2 linked regions of the Oreochromis niloticus genome follow. The protein of the gene in region 1 purifies or fractionates together with the protein of each later gene. This does not show direct contact. Links are inferred from orthologs where the notes say so. Each region holds a gene or a part of one and is shown on either strand. Other genes may lie near its edges.

Region 1 (8,215 bases):
TGCCAGGAATGTTTCAGGCGCATCTCGCCATTGTTTAAAACACTGAAAAGCATGTCGCTCGCTCTTTGGTGCCAGTGTAACGGTTCTTCCTCTGTCATGTGATCTCACTGCAAAAGAAAAAAAAAATTCCAGAGCGGCTACTGAAGCCCAGCGCACATGGCGGCCCTCTCTAACAGATGTTTTTCGTTTGTGCTGCTGCAGTCTCTCGGTTCAGAGGCACAGAGCCAGAGAGGTGATTCATGATGCGAGCCTTTTTCTTGTTACAGTCAGCAGACTGAGAGACGGCTCCAGGTTGAGAATAAACACGAGCCCGGCTCTGTTTTGGTAGATTTCCTATTGTTACGATATGATAAAGCTGTAGAAGAAGACATGACAGATGGCACAGATTGTGTGCTTTAATATGTGATTTTGTATATTGGAGCAAGCGGACTGGGCCTGTGCTTTCTCCTCCACACTCACCATCCAGCTCATTTTCATCCTAAATGGAAAGCTGGTATCACACTGAACGCTCCTGCAAGCCTGGAGTCATTCACGTCTGCAGCTAAATGTGCTTCAAAGCGGGAAATGAGGTCACATTTTGGCATTAATGGACGGCGGTGAAGGTGTGCGCTCCCCTGGTTTGATGCTCCATTTAATCATGGCAGGAAGAAGGGAGGCAAACACTTCACAGCTCACCTGCCTGACCTGATTACACCTCTTCCTGCATGATCAGAGGTGACACAGCATCACAGAGTGTGACTTTGGGTGTGTTTCCCCAGCAAACGTTTTCTGCTTTTTTTTTTTTTTTTTTTTGAGATACAAATCAGTGTGTTGTGACAGCAAGGAATGAGGAATAACACAGAATCCAGATCTGAATACTAGGAAAAGGGTTTTCTCTGCTACAGCCTGGCGGCATGCTCTAAAGCCTTGAGTTATGTAATAGTGAACACAGTGAGCTGCAGGCCTGAATGCACATCTTTCTATTCCAGCAAAGCCATCCACCCCGTCTATTCTTACTCTTCATATCAGGCGAGATAACACACTATTTTGCATCAGGTCTTAGGCTGAAATAGGTGCACTTTAGGGGCAACAGGTGCAATTATTTTCCCCTTTCCTCTGCGCATATTAATGCATCTGGAGGTCTGAGGGGATTTTCAAAGCTTTCAAACATTATCGCCGGAATTTAAGGTGGATTGCATGCACCCTTGGCTCTATAAAAAATGCATCCTCGTTCAGAGATGGTGCATTTCCCCTCATTAGTATCATTCTTTATTAAATAATAACAACAATAATAATACAGTCTGTGTGGCTGTAATTATCCATCCATCCTCAGCAGGCTCACACCGTGGCCTTACCTCCTCCAGCACATTCACTGTATTCCTGCAGCTCTGCATTCGGGTGGTGAAGCTGGATGTTGTCGGGGAATTGTAATCCTCTGTTGTCTCCGAGAGAAACTCGGACACCGATATTTGATCCGGCATCCTTTAACTGTGAGGGGGTAAATGCCCACAGGAGGGTTGGCGATGAATGCTCAGAAAGACAAAACCATGTAAGATTTAAAATTAGATAGAAAGCACGATGGGGGGACTGTACGGCCGATGGAAAGGCTAAGCCGATTTTTTCCCCCTGCAAAACTGCGTTAAACTATCGAGATGATTAAGACGTGCCTTCTTCTCCTGTGACTTCTCAAATGACTTCACTGTTCCCCAAGGGCCCACGGCAGGAGGGAATTTACCAAATATCTGCAGGCTGGGTCCCCCTCTCGGTGTGTATTTTCCGCGAGAAGATGTCTAAAAGCGACACATTTATAAATAGTGTCACTCTGCGTCTAACTAAACCACGGAGGGAAAAGCGGCGTAAAGAATAGCGGATGCCCTCATTATGCTCTACAGATGTGCAAAAAGCCGCTTGTCGTCAAAACCGCGCGACGTTACCAGGCTCGGTTTAAATTTTCTCATAGTCCACGGTCTGCCGAGGTTGTCTGGTACTTTGGTCCCGTTTTCTTCTGTCGTAGTTTAACGTTTTTTAAAAAGCTAAACGCTGCCGCAGACACATTCACTGCCACTCTCTCCTGCGCTCGGAGCTGCTCAGAAGCGACGTCAAGCTAGCGCTGAGACAAAGCGCAACTTCTGGGCAGTAATTTCAATATAAAACACCAGCTAACGCTTTTACATTACGTAAATGCATTTTTAATGAATGGAAAAGACTATATATAAAAGGCGGTAAGCTTAAAATGTCTAAATATGTGTTTAAGAGAAAGATATGCACAAAAATAACATTTATCATCCATTTTTGTTCAGATTGTTGTCAGTAGAGCTGACGATAGCTTGATTTTTCTATCGTGAATTTTCAGTGTACTAATATAAAACGTATCATAGCGGCTAGTAAGCATTTATAAGGGGAAAATGTGTTCGTGTCACATGATTTTTATAGTTTTATTTTGAAATTACATTCCAAAATATCCGTTTTTTATGTCCATAAACTGAATGGTTTACAAATAGCTCTCCCGCCCACCTCGCCTGGTTGACTAGGACGGAGGGCTGCTGTACGCATGCGTGATCTGGACTCAGTAACTGCAGAATGGTCCGTCGGTGTAGCTGTAGGCCTGAAAGGGAAAAGAAATATGTCCACAAAAACACGAGTAATTTTTATTTTATGGGATGTTTTTATTCTTGGGTAATATTTTGAAGACTAGAAACCCATCTAAGCACTGTAGGTCACTTAGCTGCCATCAAAGGCAGAAAAATCGCCAGTTGACTTGATGTCCTTTGGGTTTCCAGCGCAGTATTTTCCAGCTGAATTTTAGGATTTGCTCAGTAGCAGCTTTTTAAGTTCACTTACGATTTAGTACCAGCAAATATGTCATTGCATTATTTCCCTAATGCTAGTATTGCTTGTTAACTGTCACCTGGGGAAAATGACTAGTGTTACAATTGTTTTTTTCAGGGAAATATGTGTCATTTTGAAGGTCATCAGTTTGAATATAAAGGTAGGACTAATGTAATAGAGCCTGGTAGACATTTTGCTCTTATTTATATCTGCATAATTCGTGAGGCAGTGACACTGATTCCCAGCCATCCCAGGATGACTAAATATCCTGTTTAGTCATCTGGGGTTCTGGTCCAGAGGACTGCACTGGATACAAAACACATCTGCAAATTAGTCCTCTATCACTTTTCAGGTCATAATGAAAAGGGCAAAGTATAGTCTATTAACTCCATCTAGTTTTTAGTTACTAATATTGACTTTCACTTCCTTTTCAAAACTGCATAAATGTACTCCATGAAAGTACCTCAACACAGGGCATATTAAAGCATAAGCAGAAGTACAGATTACATTGATATTGTTTTTTTCCCCAAAGTTTCAGTCGGGAAAGCCCTCCTTAGTCTCTGGTGTACAAACCCAAACACGAAGCGCCACCTTGTGGGCATGATTTTGAGTTTTTTGTTTATATTGGATGGATGTGCTTTATTTATGAATCATTAAGGTTAGATGGCCTATATATATATTATTTAAAATTAAAGCAAATTAAGATAGACAATTTTTATAGTCACAGATCAAAAGGAAAGAACACATAGTGTTCATATGTGCAAAATGGGAATAATTCATATATTGAATCAAACATTTATACAATGAATAAATAAATGTCTCAATATTTACTACGTAATTGAAAACTAATGAACACCTCTGTATACCAAAGTATTCTAGAGTCAAATGTGAGCCCAACTGTCCGAAAGCTAAAACTTCATGACAGTTATCTCAAGAACAACAGCAAATCCCTGACAGAATGTCTGAAAAAGAAAAGAATCAAGGTGTTGCAACCCAGCTGAAGTACATCTTCAGAGAGTAGTGCATAAACGACTTCCTGCAAACTTCAATGAACAAATCTTGTAAAGAGGAGTGGGCACAATCCCTCCATAGAGATGAGAAAGACTGATGAAATCATACAGAAAACAAAAACTTCCATTTGCAGCCACAAAGGTGGGTGTACTTAGCTTTTGCCCCACTGTTTCTTCATTTTGTTTTTTTGTGTAACTGTGACACGATGTAATGTGTGTAGTATGTCATGTCTTACTGTTCATCTGAGGTTGTACTAAAAAGTGTTATTTTTATTATGTCATAATGTGTAAAGCCTTAGAACTGAAAGACTTTATTTCTTATGTATTTTTACCACGACTGTCTTATTTTTTACTTTGGAGTAATTCCCTCCGTTTATTTCTTGCTGTGTGTTCCATGCAGTAGTAATATCAATTTTGAAAACGTTTTATTTTGGTTTTATTTTATAAACGCTGACCGGAAGTTCCGTTTATGACATCTGCGCTAACCGTTAGCTAACTAGCTAGCTTATATTAATAAGGTGCGAGGCAGGCAAGGGAAGATTACCGTCGCTTTTAAGGGGTTTCGGATCATTTTTAAGAACCGGAAGACAGGAAACAGGGTGGATACGGTCGCGGAGGGCGTGGACACGCGTGTCATTTCTCTTAAAGCTGCACTTTGTCGTTATACGTGCTGCGGAACAAGCAACAAGGAGTGCTCAGACTGAATGGCCGAGGGCTTCTCAGGTAACTAATGTGCAGTTTTAATAACAGTGAGTCACAGGAACCCGAGGCAGCCTAAACCGACTCTTAAATCATTCTGAAATACTGACTTTAGCAGCTTCGCTAACAGTTACACACTCTCTTGCTAGTTGTGTTAGCTGGACAACCTTAAGCAGCCTAAACATAAACTTTTAGCTGACGCAGTTTTCTGTTCACTTGCTCTGGGTTGCTAATGTTAGCCTAGCATCTCTGAGTGATCGTGCAGTTCGTGGATGAGGTAACGACGCGTGACAGCCGAGGAACTTTGAAAGGCAACAGCACGCCAGATGATGGTACGCGTTGTTATCCATAAAATCGAGAGCTGTCATGCTCATTTTAGACTCCATATTTTCATTACTTGTACATATACTGACCTTAAGATTTTAAATTGCACATAAGAACAGATCATCCCCATATAGTTAAGGCATAGAGTCTGTGTTGCTCTACTCAGCAGAACTTTTCCAGCTTGTTTTTGGCCATTTGATATACCGAAATGTATATTAGGGCTTCGTGAACAAAACTGTATTGCAAACCACAAAGTCAAGTCATCTTTATTTATATAGCACATTTAAAAGACATCAAGTGTCGGCCAAAGTGCTGAACAGAGGGATAATACAATAAAAACAATTAAATAGATAAAATGAAAACATTATAGAAACAATGTAAGACATCCATATACGTTTGTAAAAAGTATATGTGTACATGCAAATATGCAAATACATATACAAAAATGTACACATTCACACACAAGCACGCATACGTGAACATAAAATACATGTATATGTGTATACACATGCAAACATCATCCACAAAAAGTGGTCATGATGATTTTACACCTGCGGGTGCAAACATTTTTTTCATATGCAGGAAAAAAAATCTGTCTATAACAACATTTGCTCATGGCAAAATGTTATTGCACTCTTTATTTGTCATATGCAATTTAAAATGTCATCTCATAAGTAAATAGGTCACAACGATCCCCGAAATCCTTGCAAAATGACAATAAATGATGTTGTCCTGCCTAGTTTAAAGTCTTAAGTGTTTTCGCTCTAAATATATTTGATGTTGCTCATAACTTGGTTCTGTTTTCTTGTTGCAGACCCACCTGACCTCAATCCAGATGGGACGCAACATCAAACGTCACATCAGCACAAACCCAGAAGAGGCCGACCCAGACACAACAATGACAGACACCTGAGTAACAACAGTAATGAGACCTGTCATCAGTCTGGACACTTTAGTCAGGGGACTAATCCCCCTTTTAGCCATAAATCAAATTATGAAGACCATCATCGTCCTTCTTACCAAGGAGGAGATGAAGGCAGAAGGCGTGGTAGAGGAAGAGGATGGAGAGAAGGGAACAGAGGAGGTTCTGTGCCATGGCGGCAAAGACCTGGAGGTGACCCATACGGTGGCAGCAACAGATACATGAGTGGCGTCCATGCTTTTGCACATCCCATGGGTGGTGCTGATGGACCCAACTGGCGGCGAGGAAGTGCAAACAGGGATACAGAACAAACTAATGAGGACCAGGATGCCCAGGCTAAAAAACCAAGGAAGTTTAGTCAGGAGCAGCGAAAGGGAGAACAGAATGGCAGTTTGAAGGAGAACAACACCACAGTGGAGGATCAGCGGAAGAGAGAAGACTCAGAGTGCCAACATGACAATAATCAGAGGAAACACACTGACCCAAAGCGACGGCAAGGACCAATCAAACCACCCAAACAACCATCTCAAGAGGAGCCAGGCTCAGAGAAGGGAGCCAGTGGCCAAGATGACTCTGATCAGGGGCGAGCATCTCAGGATCCTGCAGGCAAAGGTGGAAGAGGCTCAGGGAGGAATGCTCCCCTTCAGGCCAGAGGTGGGAGAAGAACAAACTATCAAAACTACAAACCTGGTCAGAGGAGCTGGAACAAGGTGCCAAAGAGCAAAGAGACGCAGACAGGTTCGACTCTTACTTCTCTAAGATATTGTATGGCGATCAAATTCCCCAACTTATTTTAAATTTCTATCAATGTTTTACATTTTTATATTGTTACAGTTTTGTTAGACACAAAATGTTTAATTAGAATTTATTGATTTTTTTTTTTTTTTTTTTTTTTTTTTAGGAAACCTGGTTTCCTAACAAACTAACATAAGTTGGTTCAAATTTCCCCATATTTTGCTGTTAAGTATTTCATATTCACTATATTTGCAAAAAACGGTCCTTTTTGGTTGTTTTTGGGGGACTTTTTTGTCCCTTTTTAGTAGCTCTAGTTCAGTTAGTTTTAATATTGGCCCTGTAACCAATGTTTAATGTTATGTTTTATTGATTATTTTGTCTTTAAAAAGGGCGGGAAATAATTAAAAATGCAAATCAAGGTCCAAAAACCCAAGCCCATGTTTTAGAGTGCTTACTTAGTGTAAAAGTCTTATGATGTTTGGTTGGAAGCAACCTGAATTATTGATGAGTCTGTCAGTGAACTAAACGACATACGAGCGGAAAGTTTTGGATAAAGGTCTGTGGGTGGAAACGAAGTATTTGTTGCAGTCTTCTGAACCTCTGATCTCTTCCTCCGCAGGGTGTCTGATTGAACAGCTGTCGGAGGAGAAATACGAGTGCATGGTGTGCTGTGATGTGATCCGGGTCATGGCGCCGGTGTGGAGCTGTCAGAGCTGCTTCCACGTCTTCCACCTCAACTGCATCAAGAAATGGGCTCGATCGCCAGCCTCGCAGGCAGACGGTGCGGCGTGTGAACACAGTGTTTACTCTGTGTGTGAGCATTTTAGTGCAGTCTGTGTACTCAGCATAACGAGCTCCTAACAGTGGCTGGTACTCAGTGTTCAGGGATGGTCACTGTGACAGTAACTCGTGCAGTGAAATTCCTGCTGCTTCTGCAGTGCTTTGTGTTGCATTGAAAACCGAGAGGTCAAGTGGATTTCTGTTATTGTTCCCATTATGAATCTGCGCTATACAATACGACACGTCACCTTCTGTCCTTCATCATAGGAAAAAAATACAGAAAAAATGTTTTAAGCTACATTTAAGGCTAAGTGGTTTTTACTTCAGTGCCACAGATGACTGTACTGGGAAAGCACATCCTTCCCAGAGGGTGAACCTTTCATTCAGCGTTATGCAGAAAGAAAAAATGGATGCATGTATTTTTAAGTTCAGCTTTTTTGTAACAGATTCAGCTGAAGGTTGGCGTTGTCCAGCCTGCCAGAATGTTTCAATGAAACACCCGACCTCCTACACCTGCTTCTGTGGTGAGTATTTGTTTAATTCAAGCATAGATGTACATCACTGCTGAGAAATGGTGATGAACTTGCTCTCAGGTTAGACGATTTAATGAAATTGTTATCATATACTACTGACTCCTTCCAAAAGCTTTGTTACGTTAAGTTTGCTACAGAGAGTGATGGGAAGAGTTGTTCCGTTTGTTTCATTGGCAGGTAAAGTGACAAACCCTGAGTGGCAGCGTACTGAGATTCCCCACAGCTGCGGTGACATGTGCGGGAAGAAGAGGAGTGGAGTGGACTGCAACCACCCCTGCAATATGTGAGCCTTAAAAACACAAGAAAGCTGCTTCTAGCTTCAAATTACGTTATTACAAGATGGTAGGGCTTCAGAAGTTCATCGATAACTTTTGCAAATGATCGATAACTTTTAAGAATGTATT
Region 2 (9,219 bases), on another chromosome or scaffold:
AAAGAAGCAAAGACTCGAAGGAAAGAGAAGTAACTACCGGCATCTTTCTCTCCTCACCTCATTCCTCGTCTCCTAAACTGAAGTCAGGGCTGTGACACACACAAACTTGCACAAAACATGCTTATTTATTCTCAGTATTGTTACAATTACTTATTGACAGCAGATTAGACATGTGGCCATCCCTTCTGCGCACAGCTGACAACAAACTGGCTAAACATCAACACAGCTAGTTATCAGCTAACATTATGTTAATGTTAGACCTGAGTGACCGAAAAATCTAATTTTCGCTCTGATGAACAGTTTGATTACATTTTCATATTGCATTAGGGTTTATTCCCTCTCATATGAAACAATTGAATTCAATTTCAATCCGATTTATTTATACAGCGCCAAATCACAACAACAGTCGTCTCAAAGCGCTTTATAAAGTAGACCCAACAATAATACATACAGATAAAAACCCAACAATCATACGACCCCCTATAAGTAAGCACTTTGGAGACAGAGACAGTGGGAGGGAAAAAACTCCCTTTTGTTAAATGTTAAATCCACTTCAAAGATAGTTTCACAAACGCTGGCTAACAGCAGCAAAGACAGTGACGCTTACTGGCAGGAAACTTCAGGATATCCTCGACAACTCATTTCAGTATTGCTGTCATCAGACAGAAGTGAGCGTCCCTGGCTCATCAACACTTAATAGTTTTACAACCTCCTGCATAGCAAATAGATGTGGACACGTATTGACAGCTGAGGTTAAGAGTGGCCTGACAGCCCACACTCACTACAGAAGAACGGCGGCCACCTTACCCAGGATTCTGCACTTTAATTGGAAGGGTTAAGAAAACAGAATTCAATTGACTGCAAGTTGCAATCTAGAGACATCTAGTGGTGAGATTTTTGCACACTGTACCTTTAATGTTGTTTATTATAAAATGTATTGCTGGAAACGTTCATATTCAACTCTATGAAAAAAGAAAGTATTTTATTAATTAACATACCTGAACACACTTTTTAAACACATTGTGTTCTGGCAGGACTAAAGCAGGAGGACTGACTTTTATGACAGTTGCATGATTATAATGTGGATAACAGCTCGAGAAAAGCAGCTGGTCCAGTTTTGTCTACCATATCCCCATTCACGTGGGAGATTTAGGTCTACATAAGCTGGTGTCTGAGGTTTCACAGTTTTGGTATCACAAATTGTTACTGGTGTACCAACTACTAACTAATACTCTTCCACTAAGCATTTATTTTTATTTTTAACTTTAAAGCATTCCCTGTGGTGAAGCACTGACTGAAAAAAACACAATAATGATGGCAGCTAAGATGAAAATTCATCCCTAATAGAGAATGTGGGAGATATTCTGATGTTAAAAATGAACCTGTAGTTGGTTTCTTTGCAGTGAGGTCACTATGCTACTGGGTCGGTTTAAATATAGCATACTATTTATGGCTATATGAATGCTGCAGAATTGGTTGTGCTAGCTTTAAAGAGACCTGCTGTCAGTTTTTATTGATCTCAGTAGTCGGGACCACCCGTTTTAAGGAAGTGCTGGAGAATGTGCGTGCAGGAATGTGATGGGTGTGAATTCATTTATATGGTTGGTGTAATTTAAATCAAACCAAACTTTTTTTCTCTCATTACTTTCTCTTGTCACAGAACTGTTTTCTCTTGCACACACCCATCATTCAAATATAGTAACCGATGCTACGCCCTTCATAATAATGCAACCATTAACAGTAGGGTAAGAGGAAGTATGTGCATGCCATGATCAGTGCTGGCTGACGGCATAGTTCTGGCTTTACTCAGAAAACACTCCAGGAATCCTGCCGGCCGTGTGCAACAGCTAAAGCTCCTGGGATCATGTGTCAAAACTTTTTATAAATGCTTTGTAACACATAACGTATGTTTTATTTTTAAACACTTTGTGAATCTGGTGAACTTGGTGTTTTGCTAGAGCTGGTGATTGCAATATATATTTGGAAAGTGGGCTTACCATCTCTTCTTTTTTCCTCCACTTTTCCAGTTTCCTCAATTTTTTTAAGCACACTGTGCACACCCAACACAGATATGTCAGTGCGTCGCCTCTGTCAGTGCACCCCAGGGTGGCTGTGGCTACAGTGTAGCTTGCCATCACCAGTGTGTGAATGTGTGTGCGAATGGGTGGATGACTAGTTGTGTAAAGCGCTTTGGGGTCCTTAGGGACTAGTAAAGCGCTATACAAATATAGGCCAGTTACCATTTATTTACCATATGTGAACTTTTGAGCTAAGAGCTCTTTGGGAATCAACTTGTTGCTTGACAAAAATACTATTTTATGCCTGCCAAACTGTGTTTTATTTGGCATTGTTCATGATGTTTTTGTGGCAAGCTGCTGGTAACAAAGTGTGTAAAAAAACAATGTAAAATTGTTTCTTTGTTAAGTTGCCTGTTGTGTAGATACAACACTGGTTTTCCTTGAGTTAGGTGCCTTTTTTGTGCTCGAATGATTCATAGGTCAGTCTTTAGTGGCTTAAGACAAAAACATTCATCTGAAAATAGTCAGGTGTAAGGAGTGGGCTGAAAAACAGCGAATGTCCAAAGAAAAACTGGCCTTCAGAGAGCCTATAGAACTATTGCTCAAGGCCAATTTAAAAAGATTACAAGAAAGTCTTGCTCCTTAAAAGCAGAATATAAAGACACGAGTTGTGGCTCAAGGATTTTGCACAGTACTGTACTTTTTTAGGTTTATTTTACAGTGTACAGAATTTATAATTTACATTGTATTTTGCACTGTATGACTTTTATATTATATGTATCATATTAGGTTAGTTTTCTGCTACTTCACCGCACCAGGGAGTACATTTGAAAAGGAAATATTGTATTATTCAGTCCTGTACATTAAACATTTTAGCTGTAAAAAATATGAATAGATACTATATTTACATCCATTAACTTATGTATTATGCAATGTTCTAGTTCTTCTGGAGGTTACTTCCTGTTAAAAAGGAGTTTTCCCTTTCCGCTGTTGCTCGTAGGGGGTCTTCTGAGTGTTGGGGGTTTTCTCTGTTATTGCAGGGATTTTACCTTACAATATAAAGTTCTCTGAAGCAACCACTGTTATGATTCACAACTACATAAATAAAATTATATTCACTTGAAGTGTTTTAGAGTAAATCAACTTTCACTATGTCCTATTGTGGAAACAGGGGTTGATCCAGATTTTTTATATTAATACAGTATTTCTACAGTCCAAAAACACCCTAAAAGTACTTTTATGCCTGCTTTTTGTACTTATATATTATATTAGTATATTCATATACTGTATATTGCACAGATAACGTTTTACTATAGAGTGTGAATGAAAGATTTTTATGTTGCTATTTTTCTTAATGAAATACCTCAGAGCCTCTGACTCTAATCTAATCTTGGGGCATTCAGTAAAGTGAATATTTGCCTTTCTGCATGACTTCTTCTGTCTATATAGCGGTGAGCAGTGGTGACTGTAGAGGAACAGCTGGCTGATGCGCAGCCACATTTTCCCTCTGCGTTCACGCAAGTCATCATTTTCTTTCTCCAAACGCACAGGCGCGTCCCCTCTTTCCCATAAAGTAGCACATTATATAATCAACCAGACCAGCTTAAAAAAGGTCTATAATGCTGAGCGACGCGTAATGTCGCTAAAGACACAACACAAACACACGTAGAACTGCAGACGCATACTCAACAGGGACAGGGAAGGTCAATCTATCTATGTGTTTCGGTAAAAGTAGAAAACTTCAGAGGAAGAGCTTCTTCTTTTTTCTGGAAATCAGGAGGGAGCACACACGTGCAGCTCCGGTATGCACACGTGTGTGTATAGTGTGTGAACTCTGAGAGGGGGGATTGCATGCCCACCTTTTTTTCTCCTTTTCTTTCTTTTCCTTTTTTTCAAATTAAAAAAAGAAAAAAAATCTATACAAGCGTATAAAAGGACAAATTCCACGTGGTACCCACGAACGTATTTGTAAACTACTTGTTACAACAATAAGCTTGTGTTTTGGTCAGCTAGTCAATGAGGTAAAGGTGATGAAACGGTGACACGTCTAAAGAGCGTGCCAGACGTCATCAAAAGATCCGCGGTGCGTTTACGTCTATCGGAAAAATCTGACGTGGATGTAGACTAGGGTATAAGTATTAATAGATGGTGATAGCGGTTATAATTGCACGTTTCCTCCAGGATCAGGGGGTGGGCACTTCATATTTCCGAGGGACCACATGAGAAACTGCGTAAGGCCCGACAAGTTTATTTAATCTCTTTATAAGCTCATTGGTCCAGCCCTGCACAACAGTCCCAGGCTGGCATGTGGCCTCTTGGGAAAATTAATTTCTCACCTTTACAGGTGCTTGGGTTTCCTCCTAAAGTCCAAACACATTTTATCCAACATTGTTGTGATAGTCTCTTACAAATAAAATTGTATAAAATCAATAAGAGTAACATAAACACATTTCACACTGATAGTATTATCTGTGGGACAGGCAATGCTATTTTAAGTTATTGTATTTTTCCTTTACGTTTTCTTTGCTTAGTTAAATACAGTTTAAGCATTACAGGTGTTTAACTAGCTTTTTTATGTAGCATGTGATTGAGGGTGATAAGTAATGATAGGAAACCCTTTTGGAGCATTTGATTGGCTCAACTCCTCCTCAAGACAAAGAAAGCTCTGATCCAATCAATCACTGTTAAAATAGTTGCAATAAAACTTATGAAGGTGCACGAATACCAAAATGAATAAATAAATACATTCTTAAATAAATACACGTGTCTTTGCTGTTTATTGTTGTGCAATGTAGACTGTACTATGTTTAATCTATCCATATGTAATTAAAATGGGAAATAAATACATTAAAGGTTTTAAATGAAATTATTTTATATTTAATTCATTGGTTTATTTAATGACTTATTTATTGAACTCGTGGCCTACCATAAAAACTGACCTACAGCCGGTCATTCCTATAATTTAACTTCATCCATGCTGGGCTTACATGCTTAGTCACACCCCAACGGCAAAATTTGGGACAGCTGGGTTAAATCAATTATTATGTGAACGTCATTAATATATCTAAATGCTGTCTTTTACTTTTATTCCAGTTTCACTGCGGAATAAAAAAATATGCATTAAAATGATTAATTATTTTTTCATTTATAAAAATGTCTTTGTCTTTGGTGTGACTCCTTGGTTTCAACAGCTAATTTCGTCCAAAACACACAGCGTGACTCAGTGATACGTTTCGTTACTGATCGCACTTGAATGCGCCCGACGAAGAGCCACTTTACGACTTCCCAAATTGGAAATTAAGAGGTTTTATGACGAGGAAGCGCTTGAAAGCAGCAAGTCGACCTGACCCAAAAGCGCGCTCCCTGCGTTTTACGTGTCTCCTCCCCCTCCACACTGTACGTGCGCGCACCACTCTATCGCGTGGTGGGGATCATCCATGTTGCTACTAGTGGTGGAGATAAGGTTGTAATCCTGAGAGGCCCCGGAGACGTTTCTTGGGTTTTTTTATATGCTCTAACTCGGCGCTGACTGCTCCGCGTCGTGGACTGAAGCTCTTTTGGTCTCGGAGCGACACAGAAGCGGCAGACTCTGCGGAAAAACTTCACGTTTCCCTGAAATTGAAGGCGAATTCGGGCCGGGGGGGAGGACTGGTAATCCTGAGGGGGAAGAAAGACGGTGGTGGGAAATGGCCACTCAGGTGGAGGCTCTCCTACCCGGCAACCCGCTTGCTCAAGCGAAGGAGCACGGTAAAGTGATCCGCAGTGAGCCTAAGGAGGAGCCTAGCGGCCGGGGCGACGGGGCCAAGCGGCAGACGGGTGTCGCCGATCAGGGGAGCGGCGGAGGCGGCAGCAGCAGTCCAGGACAGGGAGGGACCACCGGCTCGGAGGAGCAGACCTCCAAGCGGGCGACAGAGGAGAGCAAAGGCGACTGTGACAGCGAAGACAAGCAAGGCGAGGAGGGAGTTAAAGGCGGCGGTGGCAACAAAAAGGAGTTTACTGAAGCTCCCCCGCCCAAGGTGAACCCGTGGACGAGGAAAATGAATGCTGTGACCGTGGTCAGCGTGAATGGACAAGCACACCACGGTCTGTACCCTCCCTACGTGTTGATTTACTGGCTGTCAGTGTTGTGTTTAGTGTCTGCCTGCACAGGTGTGGTCGTCCTGCTTTCACAGGGGGAGTCATGGGGGTGATTTATTGAACCAAAAAGAAAGAAAAAAGAGAGGCAACAGAATTGATGAACAAGCTCTAACTGTGGTATTTTGCAGGCTGGTTATATTTGGAGTTAAAGCCCTCCCTCCTCCACCACCACCACCACCTCATAGTGAAGGCTATTCTTGGGGGAACATGGGTGGCTGATTGCACAAGTGATCACACCCTTCCCAAAAAAAAGTAAAGGTGCTCCAAAATGCCTGCAGCTTTTCTGAAATTTAAAGGTGCAGTTCAGGGATCCGGTACCCCAAATAGCCTTTCACTTGGGTGGACGGTTTATGGGCACTGTGTGTTGTGGTGCAAAGGTTGTGAAGTTGATCACTGGTGTGTCATCAGATCGTGCATTTTCTTTTACTTGAGAGAGTTTTGGTGTCTCTTTCTTGGGGCTTTTTAGGAGGAGGAGCGTATTAATTTTAGCAATGTCATCGTGCATGCTTGCTTGCATAGACTTTAAACTTTCAAGTTAGGAGGAGAAGACTGAAAGAAGCTCCCCTGTCTTGATGATTTCCCTCCCCCTTCTTCTGCTGACACCCACCCTTGCATACAGCCACATCTCTGCTCTGCTGACACACACCAAGCTTGCCAAATATTTAAACCAGTATTTACTACTGTTTACATGTTTGCTTTTGGGGCCGGTTTCGACACAGCATCAACCGCATCAGTTGATCGGGACATCCGCCCATGTCTCTTGCATTACATCAATTAGCATTAAAGGCACGAGTATGCTCGGTTGTGTAGCAGCTTAGCCGGCTAACAATAGCACACTGACTCCCTTTTTGGCCTAGTCCTTCGCCGGGCCCTTCTCATTCAGATGTTAGCCTAGCTCCCATGTGGCTAATACTCGCGTCCGATCAGCCCGTGTAAAACACGTCAGCCTCTCAGTCGTTTAAAGAACCCTCCTCGGTGCTAAAATTCTTGTCAAACCTGAAACATTTGGTGGTTTAAGCCTTAAAAACGAGCATGTTTGTTGTGAGACGTCACGTGTTCACTCCACGTGTTCCCCTAGAGAAAGGCATGAGAGCTGTTAGCTAGCTAGCTGTCTGCTTGGGCGACTTCGCTGCATTAGAGGGCAGATGTCGCATGTGGCGGTCTTGCCTGAGGCGGTCCGGGGGTTTTCGTGGTAAAGAAGCCGGTTGTCACGTCGTGTATGTGTTGTCAGAGCAAAACCCGGCACCTAGTCTGCTCCTCCACCCTGCTAGGTGTCGTTAGCCTGGAAGCTAGCAGGCAGATTTCATCGTGCATTTTATCTTATCGATCAGTGATCCAGAAAACGGATTACTATTATGTTTTTGTCTGTAACAATTCACACGAAGTTGCCCCAGAATCCACACCGATTGTCGATAATCGATCAGGTGGAGTGATATTGGTGATGCACATGTAGGGGACAGCTCCCTGCCCTGTTAAAGCAACGTGGTTTTCATGTCTCACAGCCATGTGTTATTTCCTGCACGCTGTGTTGCAGCCTCTCAGTCAGGTCCGAGTCTTTGTTTGCACAAGAGCTGAAAGCGTGTGTAACTCATGTAGACTTCAGCCTGTACTCAGGGTGGATTGGATTGCTTCTTGCTCCTAAATCTGTCACATCAGCACATGAAGAGCCACTTTGTAGCTTGCCAGGCAGCATTGCCCCCCTCCACCCCTTCTTTATGCTGATTGAAACCGGTTTGCTGGTTGACTTTTTGAGGCAGTGGCTCTAAACCCTTTTTGTTTTCTTGTTTACTTATGATTCAAGGCCACTACCAGTGTAGCTGGGAAGTTCTAGTCACAGGTTTTTGTCCCGATGACTTGTAAGCAGTTCCCTGAAAATGGATTTCAGTTTTTGGGGATGTAGGTAAACCATGGTTTTAATGAAAAAAAGTAGAGTTGGGCAGTGATATAGAAATGTGTCAACCATGAGGAACTTTTAAATCTTCTGCGTTTTTTTGTCATTCCAACACGTGCACTTGCAGGAAGTGAAACTAATTTTTGCACACAGGTCCCAGGTAAAAGCCAAGAAGAATGAGAGCACACAAGGAATATGTACAAAAACAAACTTGGAGAAAGTTTAGCATAAAATATGTCAACATACAAGTGTTTGCTTCTGCAAAATAGTTTTAATAACAAGCATTTAGGATGGTTAAGACTCAGATGTTTCACAAGGACTGAGTTTGGTCCAAATAAGCTATTTTTTATTAATTGAAGAAATGATAAAATAAGTCCTTGTGGTTGTGTGGTTCCAGATCTTTTGGCTCAGTTTGATCCACCACACAGATGAATTCCTGACATAAAACAGTAGATTTTTTGATTAAAAAACAAAACATTAGGTCAAGTTTTTGCTCCTTAGCTAGTCAGAGCCGTTGGTGGGAAGAATCATACTCTTAAGTGGAGTGCTGTAAGTGGGATATTTTGAATAGCCAGGGTTACTTGTGGGTGTTTTTTGTCCATCTCTGATAGCTGTTGAACTGATGTTACTTTGCCAAACCCTGGCAAACCTTTATGGTGGTCTGGCTTTGCATCAGCATCACCTTAAAAAGCTAATAGAATTAGGCTTATGATTAGTTTCAAGTGATCATTTAGGGAAACTAGGATCCCCTCCATGGAAATTGGTAAGACAGAAGGTGGAAATGGAGTTTAAAACCCTGTAAGCGATTAGTCTGTAGTTTCTAATCAGCCGTGTGTACTCTGTGTGTCCTTGAACAAGATCCTGGAATCCTGTTATGGATAAAGCTAGAACCTGCATGACTGGGACTGGTTATCCACATGTCACAGTGGGAGTATGTAACTATATGTGAAAAGCGGATTTCAACAAGATTTTTATTTTTTCCCCCTGGTTCAGACTGATTGGGTTTAATATTAATGTCAAGTTTACCTGGAGTTTTCTAACCACACCTAATGTGTGCAAAGTAGCATAACATAAATCCTGTTACATATACAGTCATAATTACCATTACCATCCATCATTTAAAAGACAGATCATCAGCTGACTTATAGTGAACATTTAACAGGAGTGAGAGAT

The links.
Region 2: the proteins of nfx1 (region 1) and larp1 purify together in Homo sapiens (affinity purification with mass spectrometry, with the first as the bait; 3 studies listed by BioGRID). This does not show direct contact. The link is inferred for Oreochromis niloticus from reciprocal best matches to the Homo sapiens genes NFX1 and LARP1.

Annotation. Positions count from the first base shown.
Region 1 is NC_031974.2:14,808,640-14,816,854, reverse strand, and holds the start of nfx1 (transcriptional repressor NF-X1), read left to right. Parts: upstream 1-4,282; 5' UTR 4,283-4,522; coding exon 4,523-4,541; intron 4,542-5,655; coding exon 5,656-6,501; intron 6,502-7,117; coding exon 7,118-7,279; intron 7,280-7,724; coding exon 7,725-7,802; intron 7,803-7,988; coding exon 7,989-8,094; intron 8,095-8,215. Other genes in the region: asap1b (arf-GAP with SH3 domain, ANK repeat and PH domain-containing protein 1), read right to left, coding at 1,335-1,460. UniProt on the Homo sapiens protein: Binds to the X-box motif of MHC class II genes and represses their expression. May play an important role in regulating the duration of an inflammatory response by limiting the period in which MHC class II molecules are induced by interferon-gamma.
Region 2 is NC_031975.2:23,570,025-23,579,243, reverse strand, and holds the start of larp1 (la-related protein 1), read left to right. Parts: upstream 1-5,398; 5' UTR 5,399-5,704; coding exon 5,705-6,101; intron 6,102-9,219. UniProt on the Homo sapiens protein: RNA-binding protein that regulates the translation of specific target mRNA species downstream of the mTORC1 complex, in function of growth signals and nutrient availability.